Linked DNA regions of Oryzias latipes. The protein of the gene in region 3 purifies or fractionates together with the protein of the main gene of each other region. This does not show direct contact. Links are inferred from orthologs where the notes say so. Each region holds a gene or a part of one and is shown on either strand. Other genes may lie near its edges.

Evidence for each region.
Region 1: the proteins of ncoa6 (region 3) and paxip1 purify together in Homo sapiens (co-immunoprecipitation; 6 studies listed by BioGRID and IntAct, with this or other methods). This does not show direct contact. The link is inferred for Oryzias latipes from reciprocal best matches to the Homo sapiens genes NCOA6 and PAXIP1.
Region 2: the proteins of ncoa6 (region 3) and histone-lysine N-methyltransferase 2C purify together in Homo sapiens (co-immunoprecipitation; 7 studies listed by BioGRID and IntAct, with this or other methods). This does not show direct contact. The link is inferred for Oryzias latipes from reciprocal best matches to the Homo sapiens genes NCOA6 and KMT2C.

Annotation. Positions count from the first base shown.
Region 1 is NC_019875.2:13,211,912-13,215,563, reverse strand, and holds part of paxip1 (PAX-interacting protein 1), read left to right. Parts: intron 1-1,995; coding exon 1,996-2,098; intron 2,099-2,186; coding exon 2,187-2,355; intron 2,356-3,263; coding exon 3,264-3,364; intron 3,365-3,652.
Region 2 is NC_019875.2:25,341,745-25,346,138, forward strand, and holds the start of histone-lysine N-methyltransferase 2C, read left to right. Parts: upstream 1-1,537; 5' UTR 1,538-1,956; exon of another isoform or gene 1,957-2,598; intron 2,599-2,756; 5' UTR 2,757-2,803; intron 2,804-4,394. UniProt on the Homo sapiens protein: Histone methyltransferase that catalyzes methyl group transfer from S-adenosyl-L-methionine to the epsilon-amino group of 'Lys-4' of histone H3 (H3K4).
Region 3 is NC_019865.2:14,781,544-14,785,195, forward strand, and holds part of ncoa6 (nuclear receptor coactivator 6), read left to right. Parts: coding exon 1-62; intron 63-149; coding exon 150-268; intron 269-415; coding exon 416-822; intron 823-920; coding exon 921-1,154; intron 1,155-1,259; coding exon 1,260-3,652. UniProt on the Homo sapiens protein: Nuclear receptor coactivator that directly binds nuclear receptors and stimulates the transcriptional activities in a hormone-dependent fashion. Coactivates expression in an agonist- and AF2-dependent manner.

The DNA.
Region 1 (3,652 bases), on a different chromosome or scaffold from region 3:
CTCTCAGAAATAACATGAAGACTTCACAAAGCAAGTCTTACAATTAACAGCCTACACCAACACCCGTTTGATCGATCAGCAGTGAAACAAACAAAAACAATCAAACGAAAATTACAACAGAAATTCAAATGAACACTTATTTGCAGAAAGAAAATTGAAATATGTTCTACAATATTGGCATGTAGTGCAATTCATCCTCATAAATAATAGTTAACAGAACGAAATAATGTACAAAACTGACATTCCCGTCAGTGTGTCCGTCTGGCGGAGCAGATAGGTGCGGGCGTGCGGACGGACGGACAGACGTACTAATTGTCCACTGGGGAAAGTTGCTTTCATAGTAAAACCTTCTTCATCAGTTACGGAATTATGGTATTCATGCATATGCCTTTAGTTTGTTTTATTTTTGATGAAACAATGTATGGCGTATGTCTCAACCATTCAGAAAGCAACAAGAAATTACATTTGCGCTGAACAATTTCCCATTTCCACGTCGATTATTACCGACTTCTGCAGCTTGTCAGATGTAATTAAATGGAGGGAAATAAAATGCCCCATCACAATGCGTAATGACGCACAATGGCTGATCTTGCGCTCTTAGAAGATGTGGCAAATGGAAGAATTCAGAGAGAACGCATCTTTAGACAGCAAGAAGATTTGCTTATGAGTGGCTTATGAGCCGGTTCCGACTTCCTCGAGCCGTCCTCTTGGACCTCTGTGGGCTTTTGGGCCCGGCGTTACAGAGGAGCACTACCGGCCACGGTCCGAGGTTGTGAGGCTACAGCATTTACGGCGTCTGCCACAGTTTGCCACTCACGTGGCTTTTTGGCATTAGTAATGCCCACACTGTGCCCTCCAAACAAACACTTTTCTCCTCTTTTCCACCTCGCCAACAATAACTTCTACTTCACATTGAGTGAAGTTACGTTTTTTTGATTTTCTCTCCGTGTTTGGCATGGTTTTGCAATCAATGAATATTCATTCGTGGGCGTTTCACGGACTATTTATGGGGAACTATAGGCGTGTCATGAGGCCGCAAAAGCTGCGCTGCATTTAGAATTGGTTGTGATTTATTAAGGGAAAGATGCGTAGGATGTGCGTGCGCACGGTTTTATAAATCTGAATATTTCTGTGCGTACGCACGTCCTATGTTTTATCCGTACGCCACTTCTGACGCAAATCCTACGCAAAGTTTTATAAATGAGGCCCCAGATCCTTATGTTTTGCCTCTACTGAGGGCATTTCTTTTTGGTCTCTAGGTGGAGCTGACGCTACAGCATTACACTTTATTCTAGAAGATATGAGAAAAAAATTGGCTTTAGACCACAAATGGTTACTTTAAAAATGTTTCCTTAAAAAAAATTGGAAAAATTAATCCCAATAAATATGTGAAGCTGTTTATTAGACAGCAAGGTTTAGGTCAAACGAGCGCTAGCATTAGCCGTCCTATGGGATTTTCCATTATACCTTAGCATCAAGCTAGCAGACTTTCGCCTTACGGCTGTTTTGTGTTAGGTCATCTCTGCTTTTATGGATCGATTATTGATCTATAAAGCTTGGATCGATTCAGATTGATTAATCCCTTTATCAACCCAGCCCTACTTCGAAGTAGAGGTGGGATGCGACTCGTCCAGATGTTTTCTTGCACCAGAATTTTGTAGAAACCTTATAGACTTGACTGAGTTTAGTTTTGAGCTGTGAGCTCTGATGACCCCAGTCCTGTGTCAGTTGATGTCAGCGCTGCAAATGAGCTTCCACTGAAGTATAAAAATGGGGAAGGAGGAGGTAGGCCTCTCTAGCACCACAATTTAATGGTTTTAGGATTAGGTAGTAATCTAAAACTGTCTCAGACAGAACGGCGTCCATCCTGGGAACTGTCTGGATAATAAAGGACTCTGACTTTTCATCAATTTGTTTTATTATTATTTCCATTGAAGCACTTTGAGCTACTCAGTGTTTCAATACTTCACCCTTCCATTCTGTGATTGTGTACAGGTTGGAGGAAATACATTCCCCCAGTAAGAAACTCCCTCCAGAATCTACTCCACATGTTATTTTCACCGGCTTTGAGCCCCCACAGGTGCAGCAGCTCACAAAGGTTAGATCAACTTCCTCCCATCTAGACGTTTTTCCGTACGGAGTGATTTATTTTCTTATGTGTCGCGTTTTTGTTCAATGTTGTGCAGAGGCTTCACGCTCTCGGCGGGGAATTGGCTGAAAATAGCCTGAAAGCCACTCACCTGGTGGCGGTGAAGGTGACCCGCACCGTCAAGTTCCTCACTGCCATGTCGGTGGTCAAACACATAGTGAGCCCCGAGTGGTTGGAGGAGAGCTGGAGAAGCCAGAAGTTTGTAGGTAGGTGCATCGCATCCAGTTCAGAAAGCCATCTAATCAATATGAATTGAAATATCTCCCACCTCAAGGATAAAAAAAAAGTATGCGTTATGTGGGATTTTATTTTTAAGCCTGAATTCGAGCAAAACCTGAAGCAACGTCCTTTGAGAACTACTGACTGTGATGGGTGCAAAGACTTCCTAGTGATGGGATCGTATTTTACTTTTAGTGAAAAAATAGGACAATATGGAAAACAAAGCAAGAAATTTCCTAAAGGGAGTGAGAAGAAGTAAAAGCCGTATGAATTCTCCCCCCTAAATTATTTTTGCTAGTTTATTATACATTTTTATTCGATGTGAGGAATGCATGAATCTCTGCAGTTCTGCTTCACGAACACGCTCCTGAGTGCAATAAACGCCAGACTGGGCGGCAAAAACGCAACAAATGAAAGGATGACCTCAAATGACACAAAAAGCTATTATATTAAAAAGTATGTCCAAAACCTTTTCAGTAAATATTAAAAATCTTTATGCTTCAGCATTGAAACCTTTTCCTTCTGACATAAAATTAAGTTGTAGAATAGTATCTGCAGTCTAATAGCATGTAAACAACCCATATAAGCGTTTTGTTAGACAAAAAAGAACCTTGATGCGTTATTTGATCTTTTATTTTCTTCGACTAAATGACATGTATTGCCGTCATTAAATCTTTATTACATTCTGTTAGTCATCTAGCTTATGAAAAATATCTTTTGAAGATATTAAAATCTTAAATCATGTGGATAATATTAAATTACGATCATTTTCACTAATTTCCTACTTGTTTTGATTTCTTTGTGTTGCTCCTTAAGATGGCCTGGGTTTTGGTTTTCCATTAAAGGAGGAGGAAGTTGTGTTCAGCTGAACTGACTTTGTAAATGTCTCTTTCAGGTGAACAGGCTTTTATTCTGAAGGATGCTGAGGCAGAGGTGTTGTTCAACTTCAGTCTGGAGGAGTCTCTGAGGAAAGCCCACAGCGCTCCACTCTTCAAGGTGACACAAAAAATCAACTTTAGCTTAAAATACTCATTTCTTTCAAATTTCATTAACAACCGAATGTGCAGCTTTTTTAGGCTTCCCTTTAGTTAAAAGAAAATCCTTTTGCGCATTGTTTTAAAAGTAGATGAGCTTTAATTTGAAGGGAAAAGGAAGAATCATTGAAGAATCCACTTCATTGATTCAGGGAGAGTTTAGACTGGAGGATAGAAACAGTAAAGAGTGAAATGAATGAAGGTGAAACTGTCTGAGCGTGATGCGATGGTGCTATTGCTTGTCTTTGTG
Region 2 (4,394 bases), on a different chromosome or scaffold from region 3:
TGAAGCAGTTTAGATCAGATGGAACATATGGTGGTAAGTGAGGTCCATGTCACTCAAAATCTTTCTCATTACTACAACCTGTGTAACTGATTGAGTTTACCCTGTGCTGACTGCTTTGTTATTTAAAAATTTAATAAAATACTGTAAAAAAATAAGTTTTTTCTTTTTCTTTTTAAGTAAAAAGAACATAAATTGTGTCTGAAACTAACTGAATGTTTGACAACTAGATATCTACTTAAGAAGCCTTTTCCAATCATTTTAATATGATTAAACGTGTAATTAAAAAAAACTCTGTAAATATTTATTCTAATTTGCATTCAGCTTCTGTAACACATAATTACTTTGGTTACAAAAACATTCACACTATTCAAATGATTATTTAAAAATCTCATCTTTAATTTACTATCCATTTAGCCTCATCATTTGCTTGTCATGTGCACGAGTGTGAATGTTACAACTCTGACCATCGGCCTCAAGCCTTTTAGAGTAATTGGGTCAATACTGGTTAGTGGTGTAAATGCACACCAGCGGAAAGGTCAAAACTTAATAAAGGACACTGGTATTGTGCAATGTCTCCAACTCAGTTGATGTCAGAAACCCTACTGACCTTTGAGATCTGATGCAAAAAAAGACAGGTGAATTCTTCAACAATCAGTGGTGCTGATAAGCTTCTGAGAACTTTTGGATCAGACTAAATTACTGATGTCACCGATATTACAAGTAAAGTACACTTAAAATGTCTTTCCCCTTTTTAAGCATCATAATATTCAATAAACCATTAGTGACATTACAAAAATATTTGTTTTTATACACATATACAAGTTTTCGATTTAGTCAGTGTTTAGTTTACATTTTCAAAAGCTTGAGAAGGTGTATTTTGTGTATATTCTGCAAGCGTTTAAAAAATCCCACTACAAAGATGAGGCAGAAAGCTGTTCCTTCCTCAGGAGTGGTTGGAATTTAAAAGTCAAATTTAAAAATATAATAATCTAACAACAGTGTACAATGTTTTTGTCAATAAAGTTTTTTTTGCAATTTGTTGTCCTGATGCTTTGAGGCATTTAAATTATACAACCAAAAATAGTAATGTATGGTCTCAGCCACCAGGGGGAGCTCACGGTTTGGTAAAGCGGTAACCGGGCACAGTTTGAAGGGACGGGGTTATGTTTATGTCCATTTCTTTTACCTCATGGCTTCACCTGGAGATACTCGTCGTGTCTTATCTAAGGAAGCCGGTCAGGCGGTGGATCGTTGCGGGCATGAAAAGCACGCTGAGTCCACGGATAACGATGTTCCATCCAGCCGCTGAAAGCCGACCTCTGGGGACTCTTCTCAAAGTTAACCCTTGCATGTACAGTATGTCTGCCTGATAGGCGATGAATAATGCCATGCCTGCTGTGTATGTGCGTGTGTGTATGCATTTGTGTGTGCGTCTTCGCCCGTGCGTACGTGCGTGTGAGAGAGAGAGAGAGAGAGAGAGAGAGAGAGAGAGAGCGAGACACAGAGAGAGAGAGAGAGAGAGACAGAGAGAGAGAGAGTCTAAAAGGGGACGCTTTAATTTGGTGGCAGAGAGGGGGCAGTTACGGCTATTTTTCTAAACTACCAAAGCCGTTGCGGATGAAATATAACATCTATTCCAGAGTTAGTCATTTATAATTGTAGAAATCCGACGACGGCAGGATCTTTGTCGCTAGAGAAGGTTTGCAGGGGCTGGAAACTGAACTGTTGACACTCCCACCCCCGAAAAGACTAGAATCCAGTTTCCGTCTTTTGGCTACTTCCTGGCCATTATTTTATTTACTAAATGCTGGTATCCCTCCGCAGGGTCAGAGAGTATTTTGAACAGAATGTAAAACGGTTTGCGCTCTGTTTTCTTGCATGTCGTGCTATCAACGTGTTTAAAATCTGACGGGTTTTTGAAGTGGCACCGTCCTGAGGAGTCACGAGGATTACTAGGTATTTGTTTGCTCAAGTTCTGTCAGTAGGTGGTGGATCTAGATTGTTAGGAGCCTGGAGGGGGATGTGGTTCGATGCCACTTATCATTAGATATGGCCATCGTTTTTAGACTACACCGAGGCGTCATCTTTCCCTTAATTTTGTCATAAATCGTGGGAATTTGGGGTTTTGCTCCGCGTGGCAGGCATAATGTTGTTTTTTGCAAACTAGTGTTTGCTTTCCCATATTTTTGGAGCCAGTTGTTACTGCGTGGCAGAGTGGTTACGAGAGTCTTCTAACTAGCCGCTTGGTCCCGCAGCTTGTCGCAGCTGAAGAAAATAGAACCAGTTGTTGCCAACCCAGCAGTCGGCATCCAACATTTGCTTTGCACAACGCTATACCTTTAAAAAGGATTGTGTTACATTGCTTTATTCCCGGGGCTCTTGCAGTGGCGTGTATTTCGGGGTTTCTTTGTGTGTCTGTGTTAATGATAAAAAAAAATTGCTGGCCATAGACTTGGGTGGCTAACGCCAACTAGCTATATAACCTGAACTCGTGCGACGACAGCTGTCATTGGAGAAAGGAAAGTGATCCCAACAAATGCGCCTGCCAGTGAAGCGGTTTTCTGTTGGATTTACATCAGCTGCTTTCCCGTCAAATGGGTAAAGTTTGGAATTACATTGCAACGCTGGAATACAATGCTATAGATGCGCTGTGCATTTTTGAGAAAGGCTGTGTTGTTTCATTGGAGAGAAGCTAGCTAGCCTTGTTAGCTTGCTAGCTAGCTGTGTGATAAAAGTGCGACGTTTTTATTCCCCAGTGTTTTTGGACATGAAGAGGATAATTCGCTGTCCATAGGGCCGGAAGGTAAGATAAAACCCTCACTTGCATTGTGTTTGTGTTGGCTATATTTACCCAGAATTCGCCTTTTCAAATGAGAGTCTGAGCCAACATTATCCTTCAGTCTGATGTTGGGGGAGGTTGTCGCCGCCTTGGCTTTCATGACTCAGACTGTTCAACGGAACGGAACATAAAACGGGACGGTTCATTATATTTTGCATAACGCCGACTTCGGAGGGCAAAAAATATATATATGGGCTTATTGTCGCGTTTATTTATTGCACAAGTCGGCCAATCGGCAGTTGTGTACAGCCGACATCAATTGTTAAAGGTAGACTGTAAACCAAAGCCTTGTATGTTGTGTAACGTATCATTCACTTTTTGTGAAGCATCGTTAGTTCCTCGAAACAGTTCCGCTGGATTGAACAGTCCGAACCTTTGTGTGTTGGACACCGATAAGTATTGGTGCTTTGATGATGATTAATACATATTTAGCGCCATCTTCCTAAAGTCGGTATTAACATCATGAGACATTATGTTTAGCATCTAACCCCAGCCTCCAGTTGCTGTGAGTTGCCAACTAACTACAGCCAGTGGTAACCTGTTTGCTTTGCGAGCCCCTTTAAGTCTCGCTAGTAGTAGTTGATGCCTTTGCCTTTGTACTGTATTGTTTGACGTAGGCATCAGCCTACTTTCAGTTTGACTAATTTTGACAATGCCTATGTTAGGTTCATCTGCCGCAGAAAAGGCGACATTGTTTAAAACAACACGCTAGCCCTCGCTAGCTTTTATGCAGCTGCTTTGTGCCCAAGCTTGGTTTGACAAAAGCTATCGGAAGGCATGTTTTCAATTGTACCCTGGTGGTCGTGACTGCTGCTTACCCAAGCCTTATATGACATGCACAGTCAGTTACATACATGTAATGTTACAAATCTCACAGATCTCCTCTTGTTTCCTCATTGAAAACCAGTGTGGCCCCATATATCCAGCAGAGCTTTTACTGACATGAAATAGAATTTTTTTTTCTTTCCATGTTAACCTTCTTTTGACAAGTGTTTCTAATGGATGTGACCGAGCAGACCTTGTAGTGGAGGCCAGAATTGACATAAATAAAGAAATTATTTAATCCTAGAGTGAATGAAGGGTTTTTGTTCCAGGAAATTACTAAAAACTGGGGTTTTTTGTAACCCATTTGGCCTCGAGCTGTTAAACATATCTACACAAACTATTACTTTTACTTCTACTGTTTTTTTTATTTTTATTTAACTGGAATCTTTTCTAACGCAGCTCTGATGAAAATACTAAATGGACACCTGCCAAAGCTACACAATTTTTTCCCATTAAAATAATTGTTTGCAAAATACCTTCAGGACCACAACAAAAAAGTGTGCCTTTTTACTTTAATAAAGCAAGAATATATACCTAAAATATTAAAATAGGTATATATAATTGCAGACAAGGATTGAATTCTTCTTTTTTTCTGTATGGTGACCATCATATAAAAACATGTTAGTTCTCATACTGTCACTTGGGAAGGAATCAGATCTTAAGGATGAAATCTGCTCATGTTGTTGCATCTTATTTAATTGACGAAATGTACTCTACGAATGATTGTATA
Region 3 (3,652 bases):
AAACCACCACGCAAGAAAAAACCCAAAGAGGGGGATGGACAACAACAAGTAGAGGGGCTTGGGTAAAACATGTTTTCTTCTTTCATCAGGTCCTGTGTCAACAGCATATTCTTTATTTAACCAAATAAACTTTTATTTTATCCTTATAGAGGTCTTGATGCTGCTGCTGGTATGGAAGATTCTGAATTGCCTAATCTGGGTGTGGACCAAGGTTTGGGTTTGGACAACGCTGGCCAGAAGCTTCCTGATTTTGCTAATAGACCTCCAGGTAGTCAAACTAACAAAACACTAAACTTAGTTCATTTCCTTGTTTTGTTGTTAAAACAACCAATATACTAAAATGCAAATGCTCTTTTGTTCTAAAAATTGTACATTTATCATAATTTATATCACTGATCTGTTTTATACTTCCAAGGGTTCCCTGGTCAACCTGGAGAGCAGAGGGTACTGCAACAAGCCCCCATGCAGTTTATACAACAACAACAGCAGCAGCAACAACAACAACAACAACAACAGATGCAGCACATGCAAATACAGCATCAAATTGCACAACAACAGCAGCAATTGCAACAACAACAGCAGCAAATGCAACAGCAACAACAACAACAGCAGCAGCAACAACAACAACAACAGCAGCAGCAGCAAATACAGCAACAACAATTGCAGCAACAGCAGCCGATGATGCAGATGCAGGGGCTCCAGAATGCTCAAGGATCACAGATGATGACAGGGCCACAAGCATCAGGTCAAGGTCAACCCCAGATGCACCCGCATCAGCTGCAGCAGCAGCAGCAATCTCAGCAGCCACACCTACAACAGCAGGTAGACTTTTGATTTGGTATTTTATCCTAGATTGTTTCTTTTAATTCAGGACGCACTTTAACCACCCGACTAAACTTTAATCTTAATTTCTTATCAAGCAACAGCAGCAGATGATGCTGATAAAAATGCAACAGGAGCAATCAAAAAATCGCATGCCCATCTCCACTGGAGGACAGCTTCCTCCTCGAGGAATGGGCAATCCTGCAGACATTCAAAGGCATCCCAGTTCACAGCAAAGCAGCATGCCTGTAATGATAAGCCTGCAAGGTCATGGCAGTGTACCACCATCCCCTGATAAACCCAGAGGGATGCCTCTGATGGTAAACCCACAGGTAAGGGGTGATTTTTAGTAGTACCATCATTTTCATATTCCCATCCCATCCTCTGATTCTCTTGGAGGAAATTTTAACGCAGATTATATTTCCTTAAATTTCTAGCTTGCAGGGGCTGCACGAAGAATGTCCCACCCTGATTTAGGGCCGGGGGCTCAAAGCTCTGGATCTGAGGAGGCTTCTGTAGGTGCCCACTCAAAACAAGACAGACAAGGGGGCTCAGAAATTGGTTTACAGCCAGGAAATGGGTCCCAACAAATTCCAACCAGCCAGGTCTCGAACACACACATGATAAAACAAGGGCCTGGTTCAACACAAATGCCTCAACACACAGGATCCAGTCCCCAACAGCAACTACCCACGCTGCCTCAACAAGCAGGGCACATGCCTGGCCATCATTTCCCCAATGTTCCTACAACTTCACAGAGTTCAAGGCCTAAAACTCCGAACAGAGCCAGCCCCAGACCTTACCACCATCCCCTCACTCCATCAAACCGTCCACCGAGCACTGAACCTTCTGAAATTAATCTTTCACCTGAGAGACTAAATGCTTCAATTGCTGGACTGTTTCCTCCAAAAATTAACATTCCTCTGCCTCCAAGGCAGCCAAACCTTAACAGGGGATTTGATCAGCAAGGGCTGAACCCAACAACTCTCAAAGCCATTGGACAGGCTCCACCCACCTTGACTTTAACAGGAAACAACGGCAACGGCAGCTCTGGTGGAAATAACACTAATAATCAGCAGTCTTTGTCCTCTGGTGTAGGAGTTTCAGGTACTAAACAGGAAAAAGTGTCTGGAGGGCAAAGTAAGAGGGCAAGTCCTAGCAATAGTCGGCGGTCAAGTCCAGCCTCTAGTCGCAAATCAGCCACACCAAGTCCAGGAAGACAGAAGGGGGCAAAAATGAGCATTGCATGCCCTCCCCACCAGCAGCAACTTGTCAGTCCTCAAGGGCAAGCAATGATTTTAAGCCCTTCTTCTATACCTCCAAGTCCAGTATCTATGATGTCACAAGTGAGTGGCAGTATGGAGGCACAACAGATGCAGAGTGCCTTGCAAGGTCCTCATGGAAATCCTGTTGATGGAGTCAGGGAAAATCAGGGGACAACTACTACAGAACAGCAACACACACCCCAGCCCCAGTCTCAGTCTTTAAGAGACTTATCAGCCTCAAGAATGACAAATGTTCATGCACCACGACAGCCCAAAGCTGACTTGGAGGGGCAGACTGGTAGTGTTGAAAGGCCATTGACACAACCGGTACCCACACATAACCCTGATATTTCATCATCTTTCAGAACAGCTCCAACTTCCCTCAACCAGTTACTGGATAACACGGCTATGTCAAACAAGCCTCTTCGCCCCTCAAAGAGTAATACTCCTGCTGGTGGAAAACACAGTCCCAAATCTACTTTGGAGTCAGATGCATCACTTCACAGTAATTCTCAGAACACAGAAAGGTCAATGAATGTTGCTACTACCACCGCTGCAAATGAAACTGAACAGAATCCCAAACCTCTTGTTCAAGTCCCCACTTGTAATCCAAACCTGCAGCAACTTACATCAGTTCCCAGCTCTCACTCTGCTAATAATGTAAATACCAATACTATTCTTAGCTTTACCCAAACTGCTAACTCTAGTCTTGTTAATCCTGATTCAAATGTAAATACCACATCTTCCCATTGCAACTCAGTTAGTACAAACACTAATGCAACCACAGGTGCAAGCCCTTGTACAGTCACTTCCAGTCATAACAGTTCTGCCTCAGCTATAAATGCTAGTTCCAACTCAAGCACTGCTCTAAACCCGCCCAGCTCTGCTCTTAAACCGAGCCCAAGTCCCAAACCCATGTCTAGCGTTCATTCTGTCATACAGATCCCTGCGTCTTCAACCACCATTTCCTCCAACCAGATTACAGTGTTTGTCACCTCCAATCCTATAACTTCTACCCCCACATCGATGGTGTCCACCATGATGGCTGCTGCCAACAAAAACTCAAGATCTCAGGATATCCGACAGCAGAGTCCTGGCCCTCGACCACCTCAGTTTATCACCACAACCCCAGTATTTATTAATCCAATATTCCAGGTTCCTGGCTCCTCTGTGGCTCCTAATAACTCAGTAGTATCTCAGTCAGTCACCATGGTAGGGTCTATCCAAATGCCTACTGGAAGCATCCAACTTTCTCCTGCCCTAAATTCCACACAGCCATCAGGGGTTAATATAGCTCCCTCTCAGCCCAATAGAACGCTTGCTGGACAGGTTCAGGTAGCTACTAATGCAGTATCCACAACTCCAGTTGGTGCTATCCTAGCTTCTCACCAAACCAACCCAGGAGCAACAAAAGCAGAAAGTCAAAATGAGACCACTTTGTCTCAGAAATCTAATCCTGCACTCTGGAAACCTCCACCCCACTCAAGCGCTACAACATCATCCCCATTTCAGACACCTTTGTCCACACCTCCCTGTTCCAGTTCTGGAACTGTTGGCAGTTTCCG